Linked DNA regions of Oryzias latipes. The protein of the gene in region 1 purifies or fractionates together with the protein of each later gene. This does not show direct contact. Links are inferred from orthologs where the notes say so. Each region holds a gene or a part of one and is shown in the gene's direction. Other genes may lie near its edges. The genes, in order: rabggtb and rap2c.

Region 1 (7,829 bases):
AGCAGGCGTTAATGTAGCTCAGACTGTTCCGACCTTTCACCTCCGTTTTTAGGGTAGTTTTGATCAACAAAAGTAGTTGGAGTTTTCCCTCCAACACAACTAGATCCTGCTTCAACCAACCTAACGTGAATCATTTATCCTCAAGTTAAAAGGATTATGGAGTCAGACTGTAGGGAAGAAAGAGAGATGTTCTTCACTTAAAAGGGCATTTTGGTTCCCACGTTCAGTCCAAATTGAAGCATGATTACAGTTTTCCCTGAAAGTCGGATCAAAAGTGTCTGAATCCACCAGGTGGCAGCAGGAGCAACGGGCCTGGCTCAGAGGGCTCTGGATGAAGCCACCAACTACGCTCTGGAGAGGAAGACCTTTGGCAAAGCTATTGCTGAGGTTAGTTGCCCCCAAATGGAAGCTTTAAACACTTTTTTGTGTTGTTAAAACAAAATACTCGTAAGTTATCTGACAAGTAGAGGATCTTTAAGCTGTGCTTGGGTTTCCCAGCATCAGGCTGTGTCGTTTATCCTGGCTGAGATGGCCATGAAGGTGGAACTGGCCAGGATGGCTTACCAGCGCTCCGCGTGGGAGGTGGACCAGGGCCGCCGAAACACGTACTACGCCTCCATCGCCAAGGCCTTTGCCGGAGACATCGCCAACCAGGTGGCCACGGATGCCGTCCAAGTTTTTGGAGGCAACGGCTTCAACAGTGAATACCCAGTGGAGAAGCTGATGAGGGATGCAAAGATCTACCAGGTTACTCTGCCTGTTGTCTGACGTCACTATCAGGAGGAATTTTGTGGTCAGATTTTTAATGGTTTTGCTTTTTTCTTCGCAGATCTATGAAGGCACGGCTCAGATCCAAAGGCTGATCATTTCCAGAGAGCACTTTGGAAAATATAAGAAATGAGCCCACAGGTCCATGTGCTCCTCTCTGCTTTTCTGTGCACAATCTTACTGTTCAGACTGTAAACGTCAGGACGCAGCTCAGTGGTTTGCCTTGACGTCGATTCATGCGTTGTTTGGTCAACGTAACACAGCTCTTGAATCCACGCTAACTTAGTTTCTGTCCTGTAAGGATTTTGTCTTTTCCCGTCCAGTAGATCTCAGCAGGTCGCAGTCCCTGCAGAGGAACAGAAAAGTGTTCCTGTCAATCACAGAAGGAAAAACCTGCTTCAAAGATTGTTTGCATGTCGAATCCCACACTAAGCTAAGAGAGCTAAAAGTATCAAAGTTTGCAGTGAACATCTGTTGTGTAGATTTTAAACGAGGCATTACTTCAGACTGTATCTTTTCATCTTTACTGCAGTAAAATCTCGAATAACTAACCCTGTTTTCCCTCATTCTGGACTCATTTTAAATGTTGATTTTGTAAAATAACCGTTAAGGTGAATCCTGCTTTCACTAGAATGTGTAGAGAGCTGCTCATCTCTTCCAGCTGGTGCCTAAAAAGATTTTCTGCTCGATTTTATTATTAATGCCAAGAAATGTTGAGCTGAAAAGCAACATTTTTGTACTTCTGTACTGCAGATTTTAAGGCTGGAAGTGTTGGAGGAAGTGCGGCATGTTGGCTCTCTGTAAAGCAATTTATTATCATTCAGTTTGTGCCTCTTTTTATTTAAATTTTTTCATCCATTCGTCAACACAATGGTTTAAATAAGAACAATGAATTAAAGAAATGAAACTGTTTCTGGTGTTTGTTGTACTACATATACGTATTTTTAACTTTGAATGAAAAATGTCTTACAGTAAAAGGGCAGATTTAAAGTCATGATTGTGTTATTTTTATTTTGTATTCCTATGTCCTGTTTACCACCCTGCCAAATGGTTAGAGGCTGGGAGCCTTATGGTGATGGGACTGTAATTAAAAGAAAAATAATATTTTAGTTGAAAATGACAAAAGATAATCGTGGAAATGTTTGTCGCTCAAGACAGGAGCCCCTATGTCAAACGGAGGCCAATTTTCCTGGAAATATGGAGACCACTTGTAGCTTTTTATGTTTAATCTTTTTATTAATATATTACTATTTCCTAACACTCCCATTTTCAAAAGAACACCTATAACCCTTGTGCCATCTTGGATGATCCCCCCCCCCCCTTACATTGATGGGTTCTCCCTACCATGATAAAGGTGGAAAGATTTCATGTAATCCATGGACACCATGGATCGGCACCACAAATCATTGAAGAAAAAAGGTTCAGAGCACTGTCTAGTGGGTCTAGATGACCCAACTCACGATGTAAAAGTGCCTAGGATAGCACAAGGGATAAGAAAGGTTTAAAAAAATATTTGGACAGCATTTTGCAGTCACCTTTATGTGAGAATTTCAATGAAAACACTGTTTTCCACGCGGTTTTATGTCAACATCAAGAAAAACCAGATCAAATGTTTGTAGAAATCTTTGTAGCTTAAACGTTGTTTCACCTACAATTCAAACTAATAGTGAATTCTCAATTGGTAAATTATTAGTTGAAAAAACTTTAAACGTAACTTCCCCAATAAAGATGGACAAAAAAAGGGGGAAAAAATGGTCACAGTTGTTAAACCACAGATGACCAGAGGGGGCAGTATAGCTCCAACCACTAGAGGGAGTTTATGGTGAAACGAAGAAGAAGAAGAGACGACGGAAGTTTCTCCTGGCAGGATATAATGTCAGAATGGTAATCTGACATTTTTTCTAAAGCTGCAGAGGCTTTTTGCATTATTATTCCATAATCAGTGCACAATCCTAAGGACGCGTATTTTATACTAAATTAAACACTACAATTATAGTTATTACGTAAAAAGCAGTTAGTTGAGAAGATGTTAGCTTTAGCGATAGCATCTAGCAACCTAAATAAGCTGTTTAGAGATCTACGTTCATCTGTTAATTAATGTTCACAAAACAAGTTTCTTTTGACGTTGAATGGCAGAGTGATGTGTTTCTTTGTCTAACTTGTCTCGTGACTGGCTCTGGTCAGGGAACTCAAATCAAAGACGTCATTCTGAAGCCGGACGCTCCCAGCTCGCTGCTGCTGGACAAACATGCAGACTACATCGCTGCCTACGGCTCCAAGAAGGACGACTATGTAAGTCAAGCTGCTGCGATCTAAGGCAGAACATCAGCTGGACCAGCAGTTTACAGACATATTTAAAAGTTGTGAGAATGTTGTGTGTCTGATATATTTATTTAACCGGATGTGACTTACGTCATCAAACACCAGTGGCTAGAAAACCATTTCCCCAAAAGATGAGGGAAAAACTGATGAACAACTGTAAACAAATGATGAGACCTTTTGCTTCTGATCAATAGTCTTAAAAACAAAGATTTAGCTTGGATTCAATTGGTGCAAATAGTTTCCACGTGTCAGTATCTCCAGTGTATTTGCTGCTGACGTGACGGTGTGTCGTGTGTTCTCAGGAGTACACCCTGTCGGAGTACCTCAGGATGAGCGGGATCTACTGGGGCTTGACGGTGATGGACTTGATGGGCCAGCTGGACAGAATGAACCTGCAGGAAATCATAGATTTTATCAAAGCCTGCCAGCACGACTGCGGAGGCTTCAGCGCCAGCATCGGACACGACCCTCACCTGCTCTACACCCTCAGCGCTGTCCAGGTGACAAGCTCAGAAATCATTGAGTCTCTTAAGTTGGCTTTACTCTACAAACTCATTTGGCCACACAAAATGTAATTGATAACACAAAGAAATACAAAGTTAAGCATCTTTACTTCTCTCTACTGAATCCTTCAGTATAAATGCTTTAAATGTCAAATCCCTCCTTTAGATCTTATGCCTTTATGACAGCCTGCATGCCATCGATGTGGACAAAGTCGTGGAATATGTGAAGGGGCTTCAGCAGGAAGACGGCTCTTTTGCAGGAGACAAATGGGGTGAGAAAACTTTGTTTTTGTCCATTTACATGTGTTTTTTATACATTACTTTAAAGTGGGGCTGCACGGTGGCGCAGTGGTTAGCGCTCGTGCCTCACAGCAAGAAGGCCCTTGGTTCAAGTCCCGGCTGGGCGACCTGAAACAGAACATCAATGGGGGTCCTTTCTGTGTGGAGTTTGCATGTTCTCCCCGTACATGCGTGGGTTCTCTCCAGGGTCTCCGGCTTCCTCCGTCTAAAAACATGTGCTTCATAGCTTAATTGGTCCATCCAAATTGTCCATAGGTGTGAATGTGAGAGTGCATGGGTGTGTGATTATGTGTGACCCTGCGACAGACTGGTGACCTGTCCAGGGTGTCCCCTTCCCTCGCCCATAAGTGGCCGGGATAGGCTCCAGCAGCCCCGTGACCCCAAAAGGGATAAACAAAAGAAAATGAATGAATGAACTTTAAAGTGGAACAATGCAAATGTCACATCTTGTAATAAGTAAAAGACACACAGGTCACACATCATTTTATTCCAGTTTTATGAGTTATTACTGATTACATCACAGAGTAAGATGTAAGAAACATTAAAACACTGAAATTCAAAGCTTCATGCTGCTTAATTGTTAAAAAAAGGCTGATCATGAACAGATGCTCCAAGATCGTCATAGAAGGAATGTTTCAGAGGACACAACAGTCCAAAAACTTCATGTACAGCTGAACCAGAGCACGTCTAGCACAAATGGTTTCACAGAAATTAAAAACAAAATAAATAAAAACAGCAGAAATGGATGAAAGTGTTGGTATGCTATTCAATATCTTATTTATTTAAATAACTAATACATGCTACCTTAGTTTATAGAATTAAATCAAGTTTAGTGAAAAATTTAAAGAAAAAACCCACACAAAAAAACTTAAATCTTTTTATAGAGAGAAGAAAAAACTGATAAAACTTCACCCGTCAGAGTTTCTTTTTTTCACGGTTCTATCTGCTTGGAGGTAATTGAGTTTGTGCAAATGCCCCCTAGGCGTGGAAGTCTTATAGGAGCACAGATCTCGAGGTTTCCAGACGTTTGGCTCTTTAGTTTTTATCAGAAATTCTTCTTGGTAGAAACGTTATAAAAAGGAGGACTTTAGGATGTGTTTGATGCCGATCATCTCTGTAAAGTTTCTTTTTTCTCATTGAAGTCTGAAACACTTGAAACTGTTTTTAAGCTGCTTTTCTGCCCACAGTTTAGCCAAAAAAGTGACGTTTCAGGGTCATTTTGTTATTAACATTAAAAACAGACGTCTTAATTGTTCACTATAATGAGAATTTCTCTCTTTCTTTGTTTTGTGTTTACAGGAGAAATAGACACCCGGTTTTCTTTCTGTGCTGTTGCCACACTTGCATTACTGGTATGTTTTTTATTTGTTCACAGTTTTTCATCCCAAAGCCCACCAATCTCTAAACTGCCTTTCACACTAATGCTGTTCTTTGAAGGGAAAGATGGAGATGATAAATGTTGACAGAGCTGTGGAGTTCGTCTTATCCTGCATGAACTTTGACGGCGGTTTTGGCTGCAGACCTGGTTCAGAGTCTCACGCTGGGCAGGTGAGGAACTAAAGAGTCATTTCTCTATGAAATAATAAGCAAAGCCTCACTTTTTAGTCCAAATAAAATACCAAATCAGGCCTTCTTCCACCACCTCACGTCATAACTCAGAGGTCTGATTAAGAAGCGGAGGCGTTCTCAGGAGGAAAAGTTTTCATGCTGGACTGTTATGTGTTTCTCTTCAAGCCTCAGTTGTGTTTCAAAAGTCTAAACCTGTTCTGGTTCTGGTCTCAGATCTACTGCTGCACCGGGTTCTTGTCTCTCACCGGCCAGCTGCACCAGCTGAACGCAGACCTGCTGGGCTGGTGGCTCTGCGAACGCCAGCTGCCGTCTGGAGGCCTCAACGGAAGGCCTGAGAAGGTTTGACAGCTTCTAACATGAAATCACAAATCTTTTTAGTTTCCTCGTGAACCAAACCTTAGTGCTGTTGAAGAAGATCATTGAACTCTTTTTCCCATGAGGACCAGCCCTCAGAAACCTGCCGGCGTTCTGAAAAATGTGTTTGTGTACACATTTCCTGTCATTCCCCTTTTTCCCTAAAAAGGAAAGTGAAGTGTGGTGGATCACAGAACACGTTTCTGCTGTTTGTCTGTGACACTGATGTCACCATGGGTTCCATGGGTTCCTATGAATTAAGTGAGAAAGAAACAGAACATGTGGTACTTGCTGTAACAACATTTCTGGGTTGGCTTCAAATATCAGCCCCTCCAGAATTTTCCGGGTCTTCCGATCAACTGCCTCCGACTCGGTCCAGCTGCTCTCATTTTGAACAAGTTTCACCATCAAAATTTCACAATTTACTGTGTGTGGGTTTAAAGAAATCTAGAGTCCAGGTTTTGGGGGTGAAATGAGCACATTTAATGTTATCGGACAGAAAGGAAAAGGTTTTCAAAGCATCACTGAGTCAGCTTTTTATTCTTTAGTTAAAATGTAACGTTTTAACGAAAAGATAATGTTTTTGTGTGAAGTTTGCTAAGCATGCTGCTGTTATTCCATTGTTCAGGTTTGACAAACACTCTTGAACAAACAAGGACAAAAAAAGATATCATTGTAAAGAAATCCCTGATGAAGAAGGACTTTCATCAGTGTGGAGCATTTCCTGTGACGGTGCATAAAGCTGCCCTTGGAAAATAAAACAGCTTTAGAATTTGTGTGCCATCCCTTTAGTTTGAAAAGTGTAGCAACTTTGATCACAACTTTGAAGGCAAAAACTAGCGGCGGCTTCAGGATTTTTGTGCTGCAATAATCACTGAAATAGCTGTGAGATCCTGAATTTTGTGATGTTGTGGTTTGAGTGGAAGACAGAGAAGAAGAACAGAGATTCCTCAAACACTCGCATTCTGTGGAGGAAAGAGATGAAGGCCTTTTGCCGCTTTAAGGCCAAACATCAAGTTTGCTCGCCGTTTTTTTCTTTTTCTTTTATGTACTACTGGCAGACGGCTGAAGCTGTGAATGTTTTGCACTCCTGGTCTCAAAGCCATCTGTCTTTGCAGCTTCCAGATGTCTGCTACTCCTGGTGGGTTTTGGCATCTCTGAAAATCATCGGTAGGATCCACTGGATCGACAAGTCCAGACTACGCCAGTTTATTCTGGCCTGTCAGGATGAGGAGACGGGAGGTTTTGCTGACAGACCAGGAGACATGGTGAGCTATCACACACATAAGAAGAAGAAGAAGCTATCCGACATGTCTGGACCTCCGTGGTTCTGTTTTTTTGAAGGTGGACCCTTTCCATACTCTGTTCGGGGTGGCTGGACTCTCCCTCCTGGGCGAGGAACAGGTCAAAGCGGTAAATCCGGTGTTGTGCATGCCAGAGGACGTGTTACAGAGGATCGGCCTGCAGCCGGACCTCCTCAGCTAGCCTCCAGATGCTCGGCATGTGTACGTGATGCTCCTCCGACCTCCACGCCTGGACAATGGAAGCAGAGACAGAAGCACGTTTCTCAGCCAGAGTTGAGTTCATTCATTGAACAAACGAGGAAAGTTTCCGTCATTCAACATTCCTGAAGCTCTCCACTGGATCAGTCCTGGAACATCTCTTGTCTCATTTCTGTCCTGTTTTTGTCCTTTTATCTCCGTAACAACTGCTGACCATCTGACATGTTGCTGTGGAAAAACCCCTGATACATTTAGTGAGGAAACGTTTCAGGAGAGGGCGACAAATCTATCATTTTTGATGTTTTAGAAGCTGAGACTGCCTCTCTCTGTTGTCTCATGTTTCTGCCTTCATGCTCCTGCAGCTGTGTTCATGGGCTTCAAAGCTGCAAAGACTGTTTCATGTCACTCAGCTTCAGAGAGTGTCGGCCGGCCTCAGAAGGCTCCGTTTTGATGCCACCTTGAATGTCTTCTCCACACTTCCAGCCACTATATTTATTAAAATGTGTCACTC
Region 2 (8,155 bases), on another chromosome or scaffold:
ATAAAGTTGAATGGAAGAAAAATTCATAGGTGGAAACATCTAAAAACAGTACTAACCTTGATTATAAATACTCACTGGAATTGCAGACACTTTCCACCCTGGAAAAGCACTAAAACGAAGCACACATTAACTTCACCTTCAGGCTGTAAAGCAGGAATGTCAGCAGCAGCAATGGGTGCCAGAAGTAGTGCTCACACTGTTTCACATGCATTACCTTCTGTCATTTTGTGACCTTTTTCCCATTTACATCATTCAAGGTAACAACAAAACCAAACTCATCAGTGTTTGATGCTAAATTAGAAACAACCTGATTTTTTTTAAATGTCATTTTTCTTGCACTTCCAATTTTATGTGAAGTTGTTCCTGCAGAATCAGAAGTTGTATGTACTTTGTTATCCCTTAAAGTCTGCGTTGTTGCTATGGTTTTTGTCCGAGAGGTGGATTTGCTGGTTCACTGTCTGTTGAGTATTAATATCAGGGAAGATGGGTGTCTGATCTGTGCATTCCCTCCATCATGATGTCTATGTATGAACGTCTCCGAATATTTGGGCTGTTTTCCTTTTAGAAGTGACAAGTTGAAGTCCATCTTTCGTCTGTTTTTCTTGTTTGTACTTGTGCCTTTACTGTGCAAAGATACGGTTATGTTAAACGCATATATTTTTAAAAAGTGCATTTACTCAATGGTTGTTAAATGATCCCTTTATTTAAAGTAGTTTGTTGGTGAGTCATGCCATTGTTTTTCAAATTGGGTACAACAATCCCAGCCTGATCGATGGCTTGTGGAGGATGAAGAGGCTAGTAAAAGACTGTTCAGGACTAAGCCATAAAAAACTCTGACATTCTAGGAGTCATCTCTTGGTTCACTTTTGCTTGTGCTTCTATGTGCTGCCAAGCTCTACAATGTTTTTCTTTTTTTGTTTTGTTTTGTTTTTGCAGGGTGTAGCTGTTAGGAGTATTGTGCCAATTATGATTTCTGCTAATTCTGTTTATCTTAAATAAAAACATACAAACATAATCCTATTGTGTTGTGTTTTATTGTTCGATCAGCTCATTAACTGTCTTACATAAATATGTGTTGCTTTTTTTTTGTTGAAAGGCACCACCTAAGGTATGTTTTCACTACATGTGGTAATTATTATTAGCTGTAATTGTTTTTTTTTTGTTTTTTTATCAATATAATTTCAAACACAACATGTGTGGAGCATTTTGTCCACAGTAAAGTTGCTATTTTGATAAGTGCATTAATTAGACGACAAATGAATACACATGTTTGACTTAAAAAATGTGATGGAGACTGAATGGTGAATAGCTAAAGAACCAACAGACAAAACTTTGGAACATCTAATATTGAGATCTAAGGATATTTTATTTATTATAGAATATAAATTATAGTATTCTGTTACTAAATGCATAATCTACATGCCATCACATTTCTTGAAAACAAACGCAAAGTGGTCAAAGTATGTTCATGTTCATAAAATCCATGAATGTGCACACACACCTGCAGATATTTATATAGAACAAAATTGTAGCTGTTCCCAGATCAAAATTTAGCTAATGATGTCATTCTCTAGTTATTTTTTTAACTGGAAAATTAGTTGAGAGAAACTGTTTACAGTATGAGCAAATCCATCTAACATTGAAAAGACTAGCAAAATAATTAGACTGTTAAGTAAGTTTATTAAAAGCATATTAATGGAAAAATAAATTATTATGGTAACTAGGAGATTGGTGTATTTACAATTGTTAAATTGTCTTCTTAAGAAGGTTATGCCAATTTAATAAATCAATAGATCGTTTTTGTTTTTTTTCAATAAACTTTATTGCACATTTTTCAATTTACAGAAATTCACATTACGTTGCAAAATAAAAAAACAATTGTTAATATCAAACACACATAAGACCAAACAACAATAATAGTAATAAGCCCTGTGTGTGTCTTTTTTTGTAATGCTCATATACAAACCAAGTTAGGGTGAACAAACGTTATAAAGGCAAAAAACAATTCAAAATAACTATACTTTTGAAATATTTTGATAAATTACTGTAGTTTCTTGTTTTTGTTTGAAATGCATTTAAGACACTTATAAAAATCAGAAAAATAATTTTAAAAAAATACTAAACAAAGGACATGCATTTTTCCATTTACATAAATGAATGAAATGTTTGCATAAAATAATAACAACATTGATGACATCAGAAATTCCCGGGTCCAGATTTTCCATAAATAAGAGAACATCAAGTAAAGAAAAAAAGGGAATATTTAAAACTTTAAGTGACAACCAATTGTGAATCAGTCCAAATTATTTTTATCTGGTTGCAACTGATCAATAGATCGTTGTTCACATAAGTGGTTGTATTTTCTCTGAAGTTGTCTTGTGAATGCAATTCATACAAATGTCCTAATTCAGACACAGTCTTCTTTCTCTTTCGGCTTTTCCCATCAGGGGTCGCCACAGCGAATCATCGTTTTCCACCTCACTCTATCATGAACATCTTCTACCCTAACATTAGCCAACTTCATGTCCTCTGTTAAGACATCCATATATCTCCTCTTTGGCCGTCCTCTTGCCCTCCTGCCAGGCAGCTCCATCTCCAACATCCTTCTACCAATATATCCACTATCCCTCCTCTGAACATGTCCAAACCATCTCAGTCTGGCTTCTCTGACTTTGTCGCTAACACAGGCAACATGAGCCGTCCCTCTGATGTACTCGTTCCTTATCCTGTCTAACCTGGTCACTCCTAAGGAGAACCTCAACATCTTCATCTCCGCTACCTCCATCTCAGCCTCTTGTCTCTGTCTCACTGCTACCGTCTCTAACCCATAGAGCAGAGCTGGTCTCACCACTGTCTTGTACACCTTTCCTTTGAGTCTTGCTGACACTCTTCTGTCACACAACACTCCTGACACTTTCCTCCAACCGCTCCAACCTGCCTGCACTCGCCTCTTCACCTCTTTTCCACACTCCCCATCACACTGAACTGTTGACCCCAAGTACTTAAACTCCTGCACCTTCTTCACCTCAGTCCCCTGTAACCTAACGCTTCTACCTTGATCCCTCTCGTTCAGACACATGTATTCTGTCTTACTACGACTGACCTTCATGCCTCTTCTTTCCAGAGCAAACCTCCACCTCTCTAGCTGTTCCTCCACCTGCTCTCTACTCTCACTGCAAATTACAATGTCATCCGCAAACATCATTGTCCAGGGAGATTCCTGTCTTACCTCGTCTGTCAGCCTGTCCATCAACATAGCAAACAAAAAGGGACTCAAAGCTGATCCTTGGTGTAGTCCCACCTCCACCTTGAACTCCTCTGTCTGACCTACAGCACATCTCACCACCCTCATACTTCTCTCATACATGTCCTAAACTACTCTGACATACTTCTCTGCCACTCCAGACGACCTCATACAGTACCACAGCTCCTCCCTCGGCACCCTGTCATACGCCTTCTCTAAATCTACGAACACACAATGCAGCTCCTTCTGACCTTCTCTGTACTTTTCCATCAACATTCTCAAAGCAAAAATGGCATCAGTGGTGCTCTTACAGGGCATAATCCTATTGAACAAACTCGTTAGAAATTCCACTGCTGTCTCTCCTAAGCACTTCCATACCTCCACAGGTACATCATCAGGACCAACGGCCTTTCCGCTCTTCATCCTTTTCAGAGCCTTCCTAACCTCATCCTTTCCCATCTCTGCTACTTCCTGCTCCACAACAACCACATCTTCCTCCCTTCTTTCCCTGTCATTTTCCCCGTTCATCAGCTCCTCAAAATACTCCTTCCATCTTTTCTGTACACTCTCCTGGGTTGTTAGCACATTTCCATCTCTGTCCTTAATCCCCCTTATCTGTTGCACGTCCTTCCCATCTCTGTCTCTGTCTGGCTAGCCTGTACAAGTCCTTCTCTCCTTCCTTTGTGTCTAACCTGTCATATAGCTCATCGTGAGCTTTCTGTTTGGCCTTTGCCACCTAATTCAGACACAGTAAAGAATCTAAATTACTTGCAAAATGGCTGACAATGGTTGTTTTACACGGGCCTTTAGAAAAGATTTGCGGGGTTGGAAAGACATGCTTTTATTCTGAAGGGAGGCATGCAGGAAGTCTCGTACTCGTTAGCGGAAGCAGTTTGTTAGCTTCAGGAAACCAGTTTAGTGAAGAAAAAAAATTTCTTTCTGCCAACAAAACCTGTCCTGCAACGACTCAAATTCACGGAAAAACACAAAGGCCGAAGAAGTGGCAGGTGTTCGTGCCTCATCTGCGTTTATAACACTCGGCAATCGAGGCGAGGGCTGGACCGGTACCAGAACAAGGCCCGAACCCGGACTTGACTAGCCCAGCAGGGCTCTGACACCGGCGGGCTGATCGGAAGGAGGTGGCATGCTGTGTCTAGAGAAGCCTCTGTGTGCAACAACTCAACCTGGTGTCTGTTGATGGACGCCAAATCCGTTTCAGGACTCTTATGTGAGTCAAAGCGCTCTCGTGGTGCATCGGGTCCGAGTGCAAATAGCTTGAAGCTCGGGAATGGCACCGCTGGAATTTAGCCAGGAACGAGCTAGTGTGAGAGCAAGCTAACTTCAGAGTTACCAACTTTTCACTCGCCTGTTTAGACCAGACCAAATCTGGAAATAAGAATGACTGCCAGGCTTTAGCTTATGTGGTTCTTTTAATGCCTCAAATTTGAAGTCAACAACAAGTTGGCTCTTCTTTGTTAATGCCGCTTTAAATGTTTTTTGGAGAGAGTATAGATCGAAAGCTACGACGTTAGCTGCTAAGTTAGCAAGTCTCCACCGCCCCAATGAAAGAATACAAAGTTGTTGTGCTGGGCAGCGGCGGCGTGGGAAAGTCCGCGCTCACCGTCCAGTTTGTTACTGGGACCTTCATCGAGAAGTACGACCCGACCATCGAGGACTTCTACCGTAAGGAGATCGAAGTGGATTCATCGCCCTCCGTGTTGGAGATCCTGGACACGGCGGGGACCGAGCAGTTTGCTTCCATGAGAGACCTGTACATCAAGAACGGACAAGGCTTCATTCTGGTCTACAGCCTGGTCAACCAGCAGTCATTCCAGGTAAATAAAGGGAGGACAACATGAATGGAAACTTGAGGCAAACTCAAACTTTATCACAGTGTTAAAGTTGAACAAAGCGTTTCAATCCAGGACATCTGTTGCCAAAAATCCAACCAGTGTGACTCAGAGATAAATATACCTGGTACTGAACAGGACAGGTGAAGTTTTCCTCAGTCCTTGTACTACTTCAAGATAATTACGTGTAAATTAAATATGTGAACAAACAAGTAAACAAAAATGAATGTTAAATCCATTCACATTTTAGTGTCAATGTTCAGCCCACTGTCGTTTCTCCACGTCAAGATGATACAAACAGAACATGCATTCTAACACACTGATTATCTCATTTTGAAACTACTTTTTAATGGTATTGGTCGGCTGAATTAACAACTTGCCTCAGACAGACTGACCTGGTTGGGTTGTAGAACTATGTATCGATTCATTGATTAAGTCGGTTTATCGTCACACCTCTAATTGTTATGCATTGACTAGAATTTGCGCAACATGTTGTCACAAGCACAAGGAATTCACTGTCAGAAGTTTTCATTGTTCCTTTTTTTATTTCTGATTTATTGTTTTCTGTTTGAAAATAATGCTTGGAAAAATTTTTGTTTGCTGGACGAACTAAAATAGGCTATAAAGTCAAAGTAGACATTAATCTCTACAAAAACACAAACTGTGGGCATTTGATTGTTTTCTTGTCCGTTTTTAATACAAATACTTGTTCATCTCTCAACTCAAGGGCTTTAAGAACTATAATTGCATGTCCATCTTTCAGGACATCAGACCAATGCGAGACCAAATAGTCCGTGTGAAGCGCTTTGAGAAGGTGCCGTTGATTCTGGTTGGTAACAAAGTGGACCTGGAGTCTGAGCGTGAAGTTGCTGGATCCGAGGGGCGAGCCCTTGCTCAAGAGTGGGGCTGCCCTTTCATCGAAACCTCTGCCAAAAGCAAAACTATGGTGGACGAGCTGTTTGCAGAGATTGTCCGACAGATGAATTACTCCACGCTGCCAGAGAAGCAGGAGCAGTGCTGCACGGCCTGTGTGATTCAGTGAGGAAGAGGTAAGGGCTTCTCTGAATCTGCCTGCATCATAAATGCATGTTAAGCTTGAATAAAAGCTGATAGGAAAAAGACAGCGTATGAAAAAAAAAATTGGAGCGGCTTCAGGGAGGAAAATGTCACATTCTGAAAGAGGAATAGGACCCCAAATAGGAAGCTCACTTTAAACTCTGCTGGAGGTGTTGTCTGTGTGGTTTACATGTAAATTGTTTTTTTATATCCCTCTCTCCCACATGTGTTTCTGCTCTAAAAGATGGACTTCATTGGCCTGGATCGCCACGCGCATTTTGATGAACACGGGGACAGCTTGGCTTTTTACCTGTCTGACGAAAACTTGTCCCATCAGGCAGTGCTGTCGCCTCACGGTCTGTGGAAAAAAAGGTTTTGTTTTTTTTGACCGTGACAGAGAATCTGACTAAGAACCTGGTCCTATTTTTGATATCATACCTGCTAGAAGATGCTTCAGCTGTAACCTCAATGGCCTTTGAGATGAACCTGGGATTGGACAGACACAACTGGATGGGCAGCCCCTCTGTGAATTCCTGTCTCACTGTTTTTTGATTCTCCTCCTTATATATTGACGTGTCCTTTAAGTATGGTGCAGGAGGACGTAAGGGGTTGCAGCATCTTTTTTGTTTTTTTAACTGCATTAATTATGTTACCCTTTGATTTTACTTGTATTCTGGCTCCGATTAGAGATTTGATCAAGTGTTTCATACCTTTTGAAGCATTTTGAATTTAGCGTGCATACCTAAACTAGTGTGCTGCTCAGGTGTTCTGCTACCTTCTTCTGAAAAACGTTTGTTTTTAAATGGGAATCTTCTGATTTTTGTAAGCGTATACATGGTGTGTGACTTTGGATTAAGCCAGTAACATTTACATCTAAGAGGAACTCCATCTTTTTTTATTGTGTCAGTATTTACAGCACCTCTATCGATTTGACAACATGTGCGCTGAGGTGAAACTGTTTCCAAAATGTAAACTAACTTGAAGTGACTGGGTTGAGCCAATTTCTGTGTTTTGCCAGAATCGTCACTGTCTCTTAAAGGCATGGTCTAAGTGGACGCAGGTCTTCCATTTTCCGTTTTATCGAGAAGTCTGTAGATTTTGGAGCGACCAAAGTAAACAATGTTCCTGCTTTTATTGTGTCTAATGATGTAACGTGTTGCTTTAAATTCCGGAGCTGCAGATTTTTTTTATATATATACATATATATGATTATTATTATCTGCTAATTCCGGTTTCAGTGGGTTGGTTAAAGTTCTGGCATAATTAATCAAATTCAACTTTGTACTTTTGATTCTATGATGGTAATCTATTTATTAAATCTTATGACATCCATAGCCAGTTTTAAAATTAGAATTTTTACCCTAGCTTTGGATTTCTGAGTTTTCAGAAAATAAGTTTGGGTGTCTTTTATTTTGTTTTTGTATAGATCTATAAATCTGGGAATTTAACAAAGCCTTAAAATTTTGGTTGCACCTGGGTGTCTTGTATTTTTTTCTTTTCTTTCATTTAAAAATAAACATCTTTCATCATTTCAGAATAAAAGATGCTGGACTTTCTGCTTTTGTGATACATACAGTACTACCTTTCAATGAAACCAAACTCAACTCAGGTTTTACACAAGTGTCACAAAGCTGGTTAAACTTTAATTTAAATCTCATGTCAACAACACATTTATTTAAAGTCCCACTCCAATCATCTTTCGATCTGTTGTAAAAGTGTTCCAAGTGGTCTTTGAATTATGATTATGCAGTTTTTAGCCACAAAAACAACTGTTCTCTTAGACATATTTTCTGCAGAGCAGCAGGAGTTTATTAGAAATTAGCTCTGAGTTGTGGGTGAGACTGTTGGTGTGGAGTAAACCTGCCCCCCTTTCCTGTTTACACTCTTGTTAGCTTACAGCCCCTCACAACCCAAACCTAACAGTAGCCGTGCAACAAAAATGTTGAGCAATGTTGGAGCTATCCAGCCGTACAGTTTAAGCCAGATTTCAGCTCAGACGAGGAAA

What was found.
Region 2: the proteins of rabggtb (region 1) and rap2c purify together in Homo sapiens (co-immunoprecipitation; 3 studies listed by BioGRID and IntAct, counting the BioPlex papers as one, with this or other methods). This does not show direct contact. The link is inferred for Oryzias latipes from reciprocal best matches to the Homo sapiens genes RABGGTB and RAP2C.

Annotation. Positions count from the first base shown.
Region 1 is NC_019875.2:3,786,351-3,794,179, forward strand, and holds the start of rabggtb (geranylgeranyl transferase type-2 subunit beta), read left to right. Parts: upstream 1-2,536; 5' UTR 2,537-2,649; coding exon 2,650-2,652; intron 2,653-2,952; coding exon 2,953-3,060; intron 3,061-3,392; coding exon 3,393-3,590; intron 3,591-3,759; coding exon 3,760-3,865; intron 3,866-5,192; coding exon 5,193-5,245; intron 5,246-5,330; coding exon 5,331-5,441; intron 5,442-5,675; coding exon 5,676-5,801; intron 5,802-6,934; coding exon 6,935-7,084; intron 7,085-7,160; coding exon 7,161-7,301; 3' UTR 7,302-7,829. Other genes in the region: acadm (medium-chain specific acyl-CoA dehydrogenase, mitochondrial), read left to right, coding at 292-387, 499-747, 830-901. UniProt on the Homo sapiens protein: Catalyzes the transfer of a geranylgeranyl moiety from geranylgeranyl diphosphate to both cysteines of Rab proteins with the C-terminal sequence -XXCC, -XCXC and -CCXX, such as RAB1A, RAB3A, RAB5A and RAB7A.
Region 2 is NC_019868.2:11,793,612-11,801,766, reverse strand, and holds rap2c (ras-related protein Rap-2c), read left to right. Parts: upstream 1-4,100; 5' UTR 4,101-4,806; coding exon 4,807-5,079; intron 5,080-5,857; coding exon 5,858-6,136; 3' UTR 6,137-6,143; intron 6,144-6,394; 3' UTR 6,395-7,692; downstream 7,693-8,155. UniProt on the Homo sapiens protein: Small GTP-binding protein which cycles between a GDP-bound inactive and a GTP-bound active form. May play a role in cytoskeletal rearrangements and regulate cell spreading through activation of the effector TNIK.